Neurospora crassa OR74A: one gene and its partners. The protein of the gene in region 2 purifies or fractionates together with the protein of the main gene of each other region. This does not show direct contact. Links are inferred from orthologs where the notes say so. Each region holds a gene or a part of one and is shown on either strand. Other genes may lie near its edges.

Region 1 (4,065 bases), on a different chromosome or scaffold from region 2:
TATTCGGTTTCCAAGCGGCACTTAGCCATCAAGTGACGGTGAACCCGATATATGTCGGTCTTGGTGCCGCAGTCAAAATGTTTGCACAGCACTTTGCCTCTACACGCCATGTTGATATGGGGAGGTTGTGTCCCTCGAAAATTGTGGTACAAGTGGTTCAATGTGAAGGTCGTATGATAATAAGGCCTTCCAAGGTCCGGAATGGCGAATATAAGAAAGTTGTCTCGCTCCTGTCTGGTTAATTATGATTTACCTCACTCCAAGTAGGCCACGGCCTGTTTCAAGCGTCATATCTGAACCATCAGGGAAGTCTGGAAGCAAGCTTTTCTCTATGCAATCATATATAACATGTCCAGACTTGTAAACAGGGCTATCAGTCAACCGCAAATTACGCGGGGCCCAACAAAATCGCATTGACAAAGTAAACAACATAAAAGGGGTATTTAGTCAACCTGTGGCTACCGTCCACTTTTGTCACTATAGCCATGCGACGCCTACAATTTCCTCAACCTAGGCATCGAGCTTCTCTAAAAGGAGCTTCGAGCCCTGGTTGCCCTTGGGGGCAGAAGCATTCTTGCCCTTCTTAGCCTTTGGCTTCTCCTCCATCTCTTCCTTCTTCGACGCCGGTGCTTCAGTTGCGGCCTTGATAAGGGCCTTCTTGTTGGACTTGAGGGTCTTGAGGAGCTCCTTCTTCGATGAGAAGTCGGAAGCCTCGAGCATAGCTAGCACCGTCCAAGAGCTAGGGCCGGTGGCCCATTGTACAATGTGGTCCTTGATGACGGGATAGAGAAGGTCGGCGAAGTTGAGCGGGGGGTCGACCTTCTGGATGCTGCCTGTGGCCTTGTCAAACCGGCCGCCAGCAATCAGTGTCTTGAACATGCGGCCACCGTGAATGGTTGTCGAGATGTGAGGGGGAAGAGCTTGGTAGGCATCCTTGGGCGCCTCAGCGTTGGGATCGCCACCGGCAGTAGAGGCAATAGCCTCCAACGCGGCCTTCTTATCTCCAGTCGCCGAAAGCAAAACATCAGTAACAAACTGGCAACCGAAAGAGGTGGCCACCAGGTCGGCGGGTGAGCTTGCGATGGCCGCAAGGAGCTGAGGCGACATGGCCGTCACCAACTCCTTACGCCTAACCTCGGCGTCCTTCTTGCTGGTCTTGGTGCGGATCTCGTGAATCTCCTTCAGAATCTCCAGGTCGGTGGCGTGGCTGGCAGGGAACAACGCTTTGGACATTCCCTCAAAGAGATATAATACCGTCGTGCGCGCGTTGAGGTCGTTAGCGAGAAAGATGACGTGCTCGGCATCCTTCTCTTCATTCTTGCCAAGAATCTCGGAGAAGATCGTCTTGGACGTGAGGACAGTGTCATCAAGGAGATCGTAGGCGGCGAGGATGATCGCGTGCGCGTGATTGTCACCACTCATGAGCTGGTAGGTGTCCTTGTAGGCCTTGAGCAGCTGCTTGCGGTCCTTGGCGGTTCCGTGCGCAAGGAGCAAGCACACGAGGCGGGCGCCAGACTTGGTGAATGCCATGTTTTTGAGCAAGTCGCCGGTCTCATCCTCCTTAATAGTCTCAAAGAACTCCTTGAACTCTTCGCTTTCGGGGTTAAGGTTGAGGAAGTACTGCAACAGAGCGTCGTGGAGCATGGTGAAACCAGTCATTTTCTTTTGAATGAGGCCATTGGCCATGTCAAAAAGGTACTTCATCGCCGTTGTCCTCTTGCTGGGCTCGTCAGCCAAAATCTTGGAGAGATCGCCAGTGACCTCGGTACCCTTGGGTTGCCTAAACAGAGCAAACTCGGGACCGTACCACTCGCGAAGGAGGTTGGCCTTTTGCTCCTTGGTCGCAACACCGCGGTAGACATCGTCCAGAATCCAGGAACCCTCAGCATGGTTGATGAGCTTGCGAACTTTGCCGTAAAACTCGGGGACGATGATGTCGCGGATCTCCTTGTCGTTCTGCACCAGAAGCTTGCCGATCAGGAACTTGGCATACCTGCTCTCGGCGAGCTGCGCATAGGTTCCTTGAAGTTCCTTCGCAATCTGCCTACGCTGAACCGGGGTGGCGTACTTGACGGCGGTCTGGACGGCACGGACAGCATCGTGCTTTAGGACAAAGTCCTTGATGCGGCCAGTTATGATGGTGAACAACTCCTCAACGAGCTGTTGGCGCTCCTCCTTAGGCACATGCGACTTGCGACGGAGCTTCTCCCACAGCTTCTTGGTACGGTGCACCTCATCGGCCAGTGGCTTCGCGTTCTTGCGTTCTTGGGCGAGTTGTTTTTGCTTGGCGTGCGCCTCCCTGGAGCTTGTGCCTGCGTTGTGTTAGTCAAATAACAGAGCGAGGTTCGGTCATCATGGGGCAGATATGGTAAAGAGAGACAACGTACCAGACTTGGTCTCGTTGGAGCCATTGCCGGACTCATTGGGCGTGGATGTTGTGGTCTCTCCTGTGTGGAACTCGGCGTCTGAGCTTTCATCGGAGGATTCATTGTCTTCGGCTTCGGCCTTGATGTGTTTCTTGCCAGAAGTGGTCTTTACTGCTTTTGTACGGCCATCCTCGTTATGCTTGCCGAACGCCTTTCTCTTTCCGCCGGCAGCGGCTGCTGAAGACGACTTGGTCGCCATTGATGCTATGCGATGTCTGTGTTGCTCCGGGATATGAAGGATTGATCTAGGTATGGGGGGCTCGTGTTGACGTCGTACTGGGTGGGCGCTGGTTCAAAGGTGATGGTCGAGCAGGAATATGTGAAAGTGCAGGTATTCAGACGGGAATCCGAAACTTTGGAGTGCCCTGTATCTGAAGCCTCTGAATTGGAAATTCTGTAGCACGTTTTCCGCTGAAAATTTCTGGATCCGCATCCTGGCATCTGCCGGGCGGTGAGAAGCTTTCCGGGGTTCTGTGGTGGGGCGACTTGATCGACACTGTCTAGAACTGTCCATTGATATAACAAGGAACCCAGGCAGGACCCCCACCATAGATTGAGCCGCGCTCGCGTTTTGGAGTTTGGCCTGCACCTGACGCTACAGTCACTGCAATGCCGTCTGGTTGCCCCTCCCGTCCTCTTCTCTAGGTTAGTAAACGCCTGAAAGTCAACATTGCCAGCACCCACTTTTGGAAGGAGTCTTTCACGTTTTATGTCGTCCAGCACACTGCAAACTTGAAAGGCGCCCTACCGATTGGACATCATGGGCCGCGAAGAACAAATTGAAGAGAGGGAAGTCCTCGACTCCATCTTCCCAGATGAGATCCAAGGTTCGATTGTTCGCCCACATCGGTTGCCGTTCAGGCATGGGCCTGTCCTAACCCAAGCTCGACTCGTCTAGATATCTCCGATACCGAATACCGGATTACTATCACGCTGGACATTCCTGATGATGATGCCGAAGAAACACCAAGCATGGTACTTACCGTACGGTACCCCGAAGACTATCCCGACAAGCCACCTTTCCTTGAGCTTGCGTCCGCCCCAAATGCGCCGCCCCATCAGTACATAAACATTGCCGACGATCGGTTCCAGCTGCTCGAAGGTATCCAAGAGACAATTGAAGAGAATTTGGGGATGGCCATGATCTTTACTGTTGTGTCGGCGTTGAAGGATGCTGCGGAGCAACTGGCAGTAGAGCGGAGGGACGCTGCCATCAAGGCGCAAGAGGAGGCCGCCCTTGCCGCGGAGCGCGAAGAGAACAAGAAGTTCCAGGGCACTCCCGTCAATCGCGAAACCTTTTTGAAGTGGAGGGAGAGTTTCTTGCAGGAACTGGAAGATCAGAGAATCAAGGAGGAAGAGGAAAAGGCGGCCGAGATGAAGAAGGCAAGGATAAAGGAGCCTGTCAAGCTCACGGGCAAACAACTCTGGGAGAGGGGCTTGGCTGGGAAGGGTGATGAGGACCTGGAAGGCGATGATGACGTCCCCGTGGAAGAGGTCCAGAAACTCACGGTTTAGGACCGTTAGACAAATCGTAAGCCCTCTATCACGTTCGCCAAAATTATCTAATTCTTTGCTGTAGGCTTTAATCCGCTCTAAGTATACCTAACCCATGTGAAAACCAATCCTGAACATTACTTTT
Region 2 (3,927 bases):
CCTAAGTAGACTTGACCGTAGCTTCTGGAAGAGGTCGTCGTCAATCGCGTCGAGGGAGTTGATGATATGAGATATGAGTTGCGTTGACCGATAGCGCACAAACTTGTCCTTGGCGATCATCAAGGGAAGAACGGTTTCCATCAAGTGTCCGGTAAGCCGGGTGCTGGGTGTCTCGGGCATGGTGCTGGCGTCCGGGTCGGCCTCGCCGAGAATTTCGTTATCCTTCTCGACGGCATGCCGCAGGAACAGACCGATGAAGCGCACCGTCTTCTCGCCGACTCCCTCGCTCTTCTTGATGGGCATGACGCGCAGGACACAGCGTACAAACTCCTTGTTGAAGTCATCTTCCTCGAACTCGTCGGCCTCGGCGGGCTTCTTCGTACTCGTCGGCTCGTAGCAGCATGCTTCTTGTATCTTGCGCAGGGTCACGGCCAGCTTGCGATGGGATGCCGTGGTCTTTTGGGCGTCGCCGAAGACGGTCGCGACTTGTGTGCGTAGCGCATTGTCGGGAGTATCCAAGGGTGCTTCTGGTACGACCGAGGTCTGGCGCGCCCCGCGTGTCGCTCTCGTCGATCTGCCCGGCGCCATGGTCGGCAATGACTGTTGGTATTAGCGGGGCCTGCACAGCGGCAGTCCTCTATTTGTATGCGATATGGAAAAGGTACAAGTAATCCAAGCCCAAGATATAAGAAAACAAGCAAAAAAAAAAGACGGATGTGAGGTTTCGTAGGATGGCTTTTGCAACTGAGCAGGAGCCGGGGATGAATGAAAGTGACACTATTCGCGAATGAAGGTTGTTTTGTTTACTTTGCACTGCAGGTGGGCTGCTGTGAATTTCCTGGCGGCCCCGTCGTCACCTAGCGGGAGGGACTGTCTGACCTGCTGCAGAGGGGTCGCGCTGCTCGCTGCGCTGTATGTCGCAAAACGTATCGACCCTGCTGGTGAGCTTGAATGGTCTGTGCGCCCCGCCTTTCCTTTGGTGTGGATTGTGGAAGCGCGCGAAGAGAGGAAGTGGAAGAGACGGGCTCAGGATCCCGCTGCCAAGCTTGAGGGAAACGATAAGCTCCCTTGTACGCTCTTATCGGGACTCCACTTCGAATATTTTTCTTTGGGCGAAGGGTCCAGAACTGTTGTCGCTGGGGGAAGCTGTGCACTCGGCGATTCCCATCCACCATTTGCGCCTTGAGAGGGTCTGTTCTCTTCACTTTTGGTTTGATTTGGCTGCTTTCTCATCTCTCCCCTTCTTTCAACAACAACACCACCTAACAAACACATAACATAACAACCCGATTGCTTGCAATAATGGGCAAGGACGGGAACAAGAAGCGCCAACGCGAGGTGGACGAGGAGATCCCAGTTGATCCCGATGCCATCAAGGATTCCGATGTTGCTGCACAGAACCCCCCAAGCAAGAAAGCTAGAGTTGAATCCAACCGCTCTCTCTTCATCCGACAGCTGCCTCCAAGTGCCACCGCCGAGTCTCTGACCGAGTTCTTCTCCCAACATTTCCCTGTGAAGCATGCCACCGTCGTCCTCGATCCCAAGACCAAGACCTCGCGCGGCTATGGTTTCGTCACCTTCACCGATCCCGAGGATACCCTCGAGGCCAAGGCCAAGCTCAACAACTACCTGCTTGAAGGGAAGCGCCTGAAGCTCGACATTGCCGAAGCCAGACACCGTGATGCCAAGAAGACCGGACCCGTTGTGTCCAAGGTCGCCGAGGAGAAGCAGAAACGTGCCGAAGCCGTCGCCGAGGCCCAGAAACCCAACAAACTCATCATCCGCAACCTGCCATGGAGCATCAAGAAGCCTGAGCAGTTGGCCGAGCTATTCAAGCCATATGGTAAGGTCAGGTTCGCCGACTTGCCCAACGATAAGGGCAAGCTCTCTGGTTTCGGTTTCGTCACCCTCCGTGGTCGCAAGAATGCCGAAAAGGCTATCGAGGCCGTCAATGGCATGGAGGTCGATGGCCGCCCATTGGCCGTCGACTGGGCCGTGGATAAGCAGACATGGGCCCAGCAGAACGGCGAAAAGTCAGACGACAAGAAGGAGAAAAAGGACAAGAAGGTTAAGGAACCCAAGGACAAGAAGACAGAGGAGGAGGAGACTGCTGGCATGACACAGGAGGAAAAGGATCTTTACAACTTCTTCAAGAGCCAAGGCGAGAACCTCGAGAGTGAAGACGAGGAGGACGAAGACAAGGACAAGGAGGACGAGGATGAAGACGATGAGGACAAGGACGAAGATGATATCGAGGAGGACGAGGAGGACGAGGAGGATGAGGAGGAGGAACAGAAGCCCAAGCGGCTAACCGACAACTCTCTAACACTCTTCATTCGCAACCTACCATACACCACCACCGATGAGCAGCTGAAGGCGCACTTTACCCAGTTCGGCGGCATCAGATACGCCCGAGTTGTCAAGGACAAGGCCACCGACAGGCCAGCCGGTACCGGTTTCGTGTGCTTTTTCAACGAGGAGGAGATGAAGGCCTGCCTCAAGGGCGCCCCCCGCCATCAACCTACCACCACACTCGTCAAGCACTCCATCCTTCAAGACGAGACCGTCGATCCGGAGGGCAAGTACACGCTCGACGGGCGCATCCTTCAAGTCGCCCACGCCGTCTCCAAGGACGAAGCCGAGCGTCTCGCGGAGGCCTCGGCCGGTAAGAAGGACAAGGACAAGAGACGCCTGTACCTCCTGAACGAGGGCCAAATCACACCCTCGTCTACGCTCTTCAAGGTCCTTACCCCGGCCGAAATCAAGATGCGCGAAGCGTCGGCCAACCAGCGCAAGAAGCTGATCCAGTCCAACCCGTCGCTGCACCTGTCGCTCACCCGTCTCGCGCTGCGCAACCTGCCGCGCAACATCGGGTCCAAGGAGCTCAAGGCGCTCGCGCGCCAGGCCGTCGTCGGCTTCGCCAAGGACGTCAAGGAAGGCAAGCGCGCGCCCATCTCCAAGGAAGAAAACTCGCGCGGTGGTGAGCAAGACAAGGAGAACGAGCGCCTCCGGAAGCTCAAGGGCAAGGGTGTCGTCAAGCAGGCCAAGATCGTGTTCGAGACGACCACGGGCACCAAGGTGGACGAAAAGGTCGGTGGCGGCAAGTCGCGTGGCTACGGCTTTATCGAGTACTCGTCGCACCGCTGGGCGCTCATGGGCCTGCGCTACCTGAACGGGTTTGCCGTCAAGAACGAGCTGGGCAAGACGCAAAGGCTGATTGTCGAGTTCGCGATCGAGAACGCGAACGTGGTGCAGCGGAGGAGACAGGATGAGGAGAAGCAAAGGACGATGACGCCCGCGGAAAGGAAGGCGGAGATGGAGGAAAAGAAGAGATCCAAGGAGGCCAAGGAGGCATACAAGGCTGGAAGGAAGGCGGATAGGAAGAAGGGCGCTAAGCCTGAGAAGCCTGCTGGGTGGAACAAGGGCAAGGATAAGAAGGGCCCGGCTGAGGTGGCCAAGGCCGCAGGCGCCGCCCCGGCGAAGGAGGTGAAGGCTGAAGATATCAAGGTGGATAAGAAGGGCAAGAAGAGTGAGATGGTCAAGGAGGCCCTCATGACCAAGATCCTGGCGAGAAAGAGGCAACAGAGGAAAAAGAAGGCTAACATTAGGGGCAAGAAATAAGCCTGGGCTCTTGGAGTTTACCTAATGTAGGGAGAGAGTGTGTGTTTTTCTGCTGCTGGCCCGGAATGTTAAACCATTTATGTTATTCTTAGGGCCTTTCCTGTTTGCTATCTAAGTATACCTTTATCACGATCAAAAGCAATCCCTTAGCGTTTTCCAACACCTCTCAGTCTATTTCCGCCGTGGACACTCGTGAACTCTTTCGCTGGCAGTTCTTAACCAAGACAACGCTCAATAATATTGTACGCCCTCTACATGCTATTATTATATAATAGAACGCCTGTTTGCCTGCTTTGTTTTTCTCGC
Region 3 (4,057 bases), on a different chromosome or scaffold from region 2:
CGTCCCGTCCTAGATGTTCTCTCGGCCTTGGAAGGCACCATGTACCTACTCACGTTTCCTTTAAATCTCGATGAACTTCGATTGAAGGCGAGCTTGAAGGTGAGCTTAAACTTATAATTGCCATTTCACCTTCGTTTTGATCCGATACCAACCCATAAATGGGATCAACAGCTTAACGTTCAGGACTCATACTTCTCTTTGATATCCCGTAGATGTGCAATGATATCTTGATTCCCCTTCAGACCACCAAGCCTAGCCTAGGTATTTTTTAACCAAAAAAAAGCCACACACACACACACACACACACATAAACACCAGAAAATGCAGACCCCTTTTCCTTTCCCATCTCATCTACCAGACGCCGTCCCTCTACTTCCTAACCCTAAAAGTCTTCAACACATTCTTCCTCCCCCCAGGTCCCTTCTTATACTTCCCATGCCCACCTTTTCCACCCTTGGCCCCCTTCTTGCCTCTCGTCTTCTTATCGTCGCCCTGCTTCTTAAACGGCACGAACCCAATCTGGGTTTCCGTGAGAGCGTTCTTGCCGTCCTGGGGCAGCAAGTAATCAGGCACGTGCTTGAGATGGGCTTGCTGGCGCATCTTGGTGCCGAGCTCGCCGTCGTGGCGCAGGTGCGACAGCTCGTGCGGGTTCTCTTCAAAGTAGCGCTTGAGCGTCTCGGAGCGCAGGAGTTCTTGTCGCAGTTCGCGGGTGCGGGCTTCGCGGATGGCAACTTTTGTTACGGCGCGGAGGGCTATTGCTCAGTTAGAGAATGAATGGTCAAATGGACGAAATGATAAGGGGGAAAGGGGGTACTGACCATCGTTCATACGATAACGGAAAGCCTCCATCTGATCCTTGTTAAAGTTGTACGGCTCCAACTTGCGGTTGAGCTTGGCCTGCTGGCGCATCACCTTGGCCAGAACCTTCTCGTCCTTCTCGCACTGCTTGATGCTGGTGGGCTTGTGCTTGCCAAAGAGATCGTGAGGGACGACCATCGATAGAGCAATACCGGCGCGACCGGCGCGGGCGGTGCGGCCTATCCGGTGAATGTAGGAAGAGGAAGAAGTGGGCATGTCGAAGTTGATAACGGCGGCAACGTTTTTGAAGTCGATGCCTGGGATCATTTGGGTTAGTATCCAGAACCATGTAGGACCAAAACGCAGACAGACTTACCTCGCGAAACACCATACTCCTGATCCCTCCTGCCCTTCTTCTTCTTTCCCTTGCCGTTCTTCTTCTCATCGCCCTCCTTCTTTTCACCTTGCTCCTCCTTCTTCTCCTCAGTCTTCTCGTCCTCCAAGAAGACCTCGCTCCTCTCATCCGACGCAATGATGATATCATAAATACCCCTGTTAAACTCCTCGATAATCTTGATCCGTGTATTAATCGGCAACTCCGAGTTCAGCACACAGCTGCGAATGCTAAACTGCTCGAAAAACAGCTTCAAGCGGTACGCGCGATCGATATCCGCCACAAACACCAGACAGGGACCCTTGATCAGCTGCAGCTTGAAGATCAGGTAGCTGATGAGCCACTTGTCATCCTCGCCGCACTTGACGTAAAACTGGGTGAGCTTCTCGTCCTCGTTGCTGAACTCTTCCTTCAGGTCCAGCATGGTGGGATTGCGGCAGAAAAAGCCCTTGAGCGTGTCGAGCTCGTCAGAGACGAGAGTGGCGCTCATCATGGTGGTCTGCACACCGCCCTTGGGCAGCGAGCGGGCGATGTTCTCCATATCTTCATCGTAGCCGTAGGACAGGACGAGGTCGGCCTCGTCGAGCACGAGGTACTGTAGCTTGGCGACGCTGAGAGCGCCGGACTCGATGTTGTGCCAGGCGCGGGCGGGAGTGGAGACGATCACGTCGGGGGCATTGGCGAGGAGGGAGCGCAGGACGGCGTCGGACACGTTGTCGGTCAACTTGGCGGATTGGATGTCCTTGGTGCAGAAGGCGGAGAAGGCATCGATGGCTTTGTGGACTTGGTCGGCGAGTTCGCGCGTAGGGACGAGGATGAGGGCGGAGGTGAAGGGGGTTGGGTCGGTCTGTTTGTGGTTTCCTTTTCGTTAGCATCCAACCTTGTCACAACACAACTTCTTCTCCCGGGTGTCAAGGTAACTCACAGCCTTCCTCTTAAGAATGCCGCTCAACACAGGCAACACATATGCCGCCGTCTTACCCGATCCTGTCTTCGCCTTGCACAGCACGTCCTGGCCCGCCAGCGCAAGCGGGATCGCCTTCCTTTGCACGAGCGTCGGCTTCTCAAAGCTCTGTTTCGCAACGGCCTGCACAAGGCGAGGGTCGAGACCCAGGTCGGAGAAGGTCAAGTCGGCATCGTCCTTCTCGCTCTGCTTCTTCTCGTCCTTTTCGTCTTGTTGTTTTTGCTCGTCCTTTAGTTGTTGCTCGAGCTCTTGCTCCTCCTCGGTTTGTTGCTGCGCTTGTTGTTGGGTCGCTTCGGGCTTCTCCTCCTGTGGCTTGACACTCTGCGACTTGGACTTCTTCTCCTTCTTTTCCTTCTTCTCGGTTGAAGACTTCTTGGTCTTCTTCTGGGTCTGAGGCTCGGTCACGACTGACGGCTCGTCCGTCTCGTTCAACTTGCGCTTGGCCATTGTGTCGGGGTATCTAGGTTGTGAAGTTTGGTATTAAACTGGTCTTGCGCGACAGTAATTGTAAGTTAATAACACGGTGAAAGTTGGTGATCAGTCGACTAGAGTTGGCCGTGGTATGGTCTATGGACAGAAAGATGGTAGATGAAGAATGTTTTTGGAAGTGGAGGAGGAGGGGCTGCACTTCAATGGAAGCTACGAAACGGATGGATGCCAATTCCTCGAATCGACCAAAAAAGTTTGGGAAAAAATTCGACGGGGACTCGCCCAGGCGTCGCACCCACTGATTGGCCAGCGCTACCAGTCCACTTCACAGTGGGCATAGGCGCTAGCGCACCGGCAGCTCATTGCCCCACAAAAGCTTAATCCGACAACTTGAACCCCCACAGCGACCAGGGGGATCCATCATATGCCCTGGGCTGGGCTGCCTGCCACCTTCAACGCAGGTCCACGATCTTACACTAGTCAGCCTTCAGTCATGAGCCCTACGAGGCCGTTGAGGCTCAAAATGGCCTCAGAATCATACCTTACAATCACGTTCAAGATCACGTCTGGACAAAATCAAGCTCGCTACTATACTAACTTTGATGAAATCCTACTAACGGAAAGAAATACATCTTAACATGAGCCATAATCCTTAAAAGCCATTCTTCGTTTTCTTTTCGCTCGAGCCACATAACCAGAGAGGCAAGTAACATGCGCTGAGAATCAAGCTATCCATCCAACACGAAACGAAATTGACCACACCAATCTACACTTGCGCGAACCTTCCATACCAGGCTGTCACCACACAAAAGCTCAGACGCCAACATTTTACCAAACCATAAGAACGTGAAAGTCAGATGACAAGGAAATACTTCAGCATTCATCTCTCATGACCTTTATCCATCTGTTACAGGAGCCTCTCCGTCAATCATCGTCCAACTCTGGAGCACCACACGGCAGTGTTCCGTGTCGTTGCTATTCGGCCTGACTGTTTCAGACAAGTTCAACTCAGCGTCCGGAGTCCTTAAGGACCGATTGGGCTGACTTCGCCTTTTCCCTATACCAGTCCTCGAAGCTCCTCGAGCCGCCCGCTGCATCTAGTAACGACGACCATAGTCACGCGGCGGGTATGGCTCGCGAGGGTACGGGTCACGCGGAGGGAAGTCCACGGGAGGAGCACGGCGATCGTAAGCATCTCCGCGTCCGCTCATGTACGGGTCGGGAGGGTAATCGCGGGGAGCACGGTACGGGTCATCGTAACGTCCGCGGGGAGGCGGGTAGTCATCGATCGGGCGCCTGGGTGGCGAGCGGTAACCACCTCTCCTGTCGTCGTAGTACTCGCGCCTTGGTGGGGGCGACCTGTCACGGTAACCATCACGGTAGCCGTCGCGGCGGGGGCTGTATCCGCGAGGAGGGGGTCCACGGCGGTCGTAATCGTCTATGGGAGGGGGGTATGGGCGGCCACGCGGCGA
Region 4 (3,367 bases), on a different chromosome or scaffold from region 2:
ATCTCGAGTCTTAACTCTTTGGTGGGACTGGCTTTAGTCTCTTTATAGACAAGCATAAGGAAGCCATCATTGATTGATACAACTCTGCTCTAACAAACACAATTTCTGGTACAGGCATTTCATTCATAACCTTGTAGTCAGTCAACATATACACTAATCAATCGTTCTCGGCATGGATATTTGGTTTCATAATTTTGTACTAAATCAGTCTGCAGACTGCCTCACCGACACCCCTTATAGACGTTTCCAAACCAAAGATCGAAACAGGGAATAGTTCATAGGTTTTCCTATGGTTGTACATGATTATGGCATTGTCTTTTTTCTATGATTATAGATAGTTGCAAGGTAGCAAGGTAGCAAGGTAGCAAGGTAGCAAGGTATCCAGGTAGAAGAGGGAAATAGCATGAGTGCCATGTGATAGTAGGCAGCGAGTGCTGACAATACTAGATTCTTCCAAACAAAGCTGTAGCGGCAAATTCGGCCGGTCGATCGGTTGATCCTATGGTCCCATATGTTGGTTGGTATAAATATCACGTATATGCTAGATAGATGTCTAGGTCTACAAGCTTTGGCAAGGCAACTTCACGAACAACCCATCATCCATCAATAACTCCAGCTTTGGTCATCTCTTCTTTTCTGTTGATGATCTGATCTGGCATGAATGTTCATCTTCCCCAAGAGCAGCAGCAGCCAATGATATAAGATAAAGTAAAGTAATAAAACTAAAAACTCCCAAAAACGCCTTGTGTCTTGGTGGATGATCGCAACAATTGTGAGAGAAAAAAGATTAAACCTCCTCCCTGCCTGCCTTCTTCTTCATCCCCTCAACCCCTCATTCTCCCGTCTCCCTACTCTTGCTCAACTCAAAACTCAACGACATCCCTCGCCTTCTTCTTCCTCGGCCCCACGATCCTGTCACTGACCTCCTTGACGCCCTCCATCGGCATATCCGCATCATCAAAGTCCTCATCCACCACATCCCTGCTCCTCTTGAGACCCTTCATCTTTCTCGTCTGCAACTCGCTGAGATCCAGCTTGCCCATATGGATCCTACCAATCTTGTCACCGATGCTGTCCATGCTGATGTTCTTCTTGGTGCGCTCCTCGTTGGTCTTGGGCTTGCGCATCGCAGCCTTGAGCATGTCCGCGTCGGGCTGCTGGAGGCGACCGAGGCGGAAGTCCATGCGGGGGCCGTGCTCCTCGACTTCGACTCGGGGGAGCTTCTGGCCGGAACGCTTGGTGCGGATCAGGTAGGCGCGCAGGTGGAGGGTGGGTTTTGTCGAGGGGTCCGAGGGATCGGTGGAGGAGGAAGTGGGCTCGTCGGCGGAAACGACAACGCAGTACTGCAGACCCTCAACGTCGATCTTGTCTGAGGGCTCGCCGCGGAAGAAGTCGATGAGCATGGATTTGGCGGTGGTGAAGGCGTTGGGGACGGGGGATTCGCTGTGGTACTCGGTTAGCTGACGTTCATTCACTACTCCTTCCTCTTTGTCACAAGAATCGGGGGACATACAAAGCAGTACCGGCGAACACCATCAAAGGCTTGGTGCCTACGGGCACCTTCTTGGTCTTGAACTGGGCAATGCTGCGGAAGGTCTCGGGGTCGAGGTAGAACTCGAGCATGTCGAGCATCTTGTAGTCGAAGGTGCGGCAGAAGGTGATGGTGTGGGGCCTCTTCTTGCTGCTGGAGCCGAAGAGGATGAGCGAGGTGTCGTTCTTCTCAGAGAAGAAGGTCAGGGAGCTGGCGTCCTCGAAGGGGTGGACGGGGTTCTTCTTGTGGAAGCGCTTGGCGTGGGTTTGGCGCAGCGAGTAGAGATCTTGCATGGCATCTTGGGTCTGCGGACTGTATTAGATTTTGATGATACCATCATATATAGGAGGAGAGGATATGGAGGAGGTGACATACGACTTGGCTGCAGGTGGTGCCGCGAAGGAAGAGGGCGGTCTTGGGGTTCTCATTGACCTTGGGGGCACGCTTCTCGAGCGCCCTCTTGGAACGGGCTGTCCGCGGCTTGCTGTGCGGAGAAGAGAACTGTCAGCTAATGTTCGGTATGTTCCATTGTCATGATCGATTGACGTACACTTGGCGGAGCATTTTGGCGGTCTGGTTATGCGATGACGGTAGTGGGTGGATTGGATAGGTACCGCAAGGTGGTGATGTGGACTGGGGACTGTCTCCTTCACCTGCAAATCGTCGTCGTGATGGTCGAGCAAAGAAATTCCAGAACGGCGCTTATCGATAAGAGGAGACCTTGAACTCGAAATTTTGTGGGGCAGGTGGGGTCAAGATTGTCCGCTCGTCCACTGGGCGCTGGCTTTCCCCTGCCTGTCGTTCAGGGGTTCACGGGCTGTTAGGTTCCATTCCATTTCACGCCTCAACGTCACTGCAACGGCAACCAAAATCATTTCCATTTCTGCCGTCTCATCACAATTAGGTTGGTGATGGAGTCAACCTTGAGTTCCATATTCTTGTTCTGATCACTCGATAATCACTTGCTCTTTGGGAAACAAGCATTGAGCAATATGATTGCCAAGTCAGCAACATCACAAAACTCTGGCATCACTCTTACAAGGTCAGCACACTTGAGAAGATTCTGAATACACGAAGCCAACATATTGGGATGGTGTTCTTCTACACTTCGGGTTCACAATACAGATTCCTTAAAACCGTTCTACTCTGACATAAAACCAGATTTCTCCAGTCATTGCTCCCGGCGAGCATCAAGAATGCTCTCATCCACCTACTACGGACCTACCTGGCCTGTCGTTCTCTAACACCATGAAGCAGTTCAGTATAGCTTCCCTCCTCTCACAATGATCTATTTCGCCATGTCCCCTCTCTCTCTCGTGGTCGTCTTGACTGGACCATAAATGTAGGATATCCATCCAACCTGATGAGACTCCCCGGTCTCTTTCCCCATCACGTCCAAACAGCCCATACCCATCCCATCCATACTTTGCATGTATCGTACAACCTCCGGAACGCATCCCATTCACGTGGTGGCTTCTTTTACCGTTGTTCCATGGATCCTCGGCACTCCTCCTTTCACCGCCTCCGCCTCCGCCGTCACTAGGTATGTATGCCATCGGGAAGCTACCTACCTACTTTTCAACGGTTTTGAAAAAGGGCGATTGCATTCTCGTCAAGCCCAGCCCATGCCACTGAAACTGAAACTTAAACTGTCCGCAGCTGTATGTATGTATGTACATGTGGAGTGTTCGGAGACTCGGGCATTAGGAATGCATTTTCGAAAAGTTCTATGCAGTTTCCCGCGACTGAGAAGCCTGGGATGCAAGTAAACTGTCGTGACTCGTGAACTCGTTGGAAGCATGTTCCCGTGAGGGTGTGGTGAGAGAAGGAGGTTTG

The links. The genes of interacting proteins can lie anywhere in the genome.
Region 1: the proteins of NCU06217 (region 2) and NCU09380 purify together in Saccharomyces cerevisiae (affinity purification with mass spectrometry; 3 studies listed by BioGRID, with this or other methods). This does not show direct contact. The link is inferred for Neurospora crassa OR74A from reciprocal best matches to the Saccharomyces cerevisiae genes NOP4 and PUF6.
Region 3: the proteins of NCU06217 (region 2) and NCU07070 purify together in Saccharomyces cerevisiae (affinity purification with mass spectrometry, with the first as the bait; 3 studies listed by BioGRID). This does not show direct contact. The link is inferred for Neurospora crassa OR74A from reciprocal best matches to the Saccharomyces cerevisiae genes NOP4 and DBP9.
Region 4: the proteins of NCU06217 (region 2) and NCU08595 purify together in Saccharomyces cerevisiae (affinity purification with mass spectrometry; 4 studies listed by BioGRID, with this or other methods). This does not show direct contact. The link is inferred for Neurospora crassa OR74A from reciprocal best matches to the Saccharomyces cerevisiae genes NOP4 and RPF2.

What each region holds. Positions count from the first base shown.
Region 1 is NC_026501.1:3,514,745-3,518,809, reverse strand, and holds NCU09380 (pumilio domain-containing protein), read right to left. Parts: upstream 2,801-4,065; 5' UTR 2,626-2,800; coding exon 2,388-2,625; intron 2,313-2,387; coding exon 511-2,312; 3' UTR 285-510; downstream 1-284. Other genes in the region: NCU09381 (RWD domain-containing protein), read left to right, coding at 3,187-3,253, 3,325-3,941. UniProt on the Saccharomyces cerevisiae protein: RNA-binding protein involved in post-transcriptional regulation. Component of the ASH1 mRNP which transports the ASH1 mRNA to the distal tip of the bud, where the ASH1 protein is translated and targeted to the daughter cell nucleus.
Region 2 is NC_026503.1:1,936,366-1,940,292, forward strand, and holds NCU06217 (nucleolar protein 4), read left to right. Parts: upstream 1-1,127; 5' UTR 1,128-1,302; coding exon 1,303-3,621; 3' UTR 3,622-3,785; downstream 3,786-3,927. Other genes in the region: NCU06216 (nuclear condensin complex subunit 3), read right to left, coding at 1-588. UniProt on the Saccharomyces cerevisiae protein: Required for 60S ribosomal subunit synthesis. Probably involved in the processing of 27S rRNA to produce mature 25S rRNA.
Region 3 is NC_026506.1:261,756-265,812, forward strand, and holds NCU07070 (ATP-dependent RNA helicase dbp-9), read right to left. Parts: upstream 2,801-4,057; 5' UTR 2,604-2,800; coding exon 2,118-2,603; intron 2,040-2,117; coding exon 1,175-2,039; intron 1,116-1,174; coding exon 819-1,115; intron 753-818; coding exon 370-752; 3' UTR 208-369; downstream 1-207. Other genes in the region: NCU07069 (pre-mRNA splicing factor), read right to left, coding at 3,683-4,057.
Region 4 is NC_026501.1:9,517,966-9,521,332, forward strand, and holds NCU08595 (ribosome biogenesis protein), read right to left. Parts: upstream 2,198-3,367; 5' UTR 2,096-2,197; coding exon 2,082-2,095; intron 2,016-2,081; coding exon 1,907-2,015; intron 1,837-1,906; coding exon 1,514-1,836; intron 1,444-1,513; coding exon 864-1,443; 3' UTR 501-863; downstream 1-500. UniProt on the Saccharomyces cerevisiae protein: Required for biogenesis of the 60S ribosomal subunit.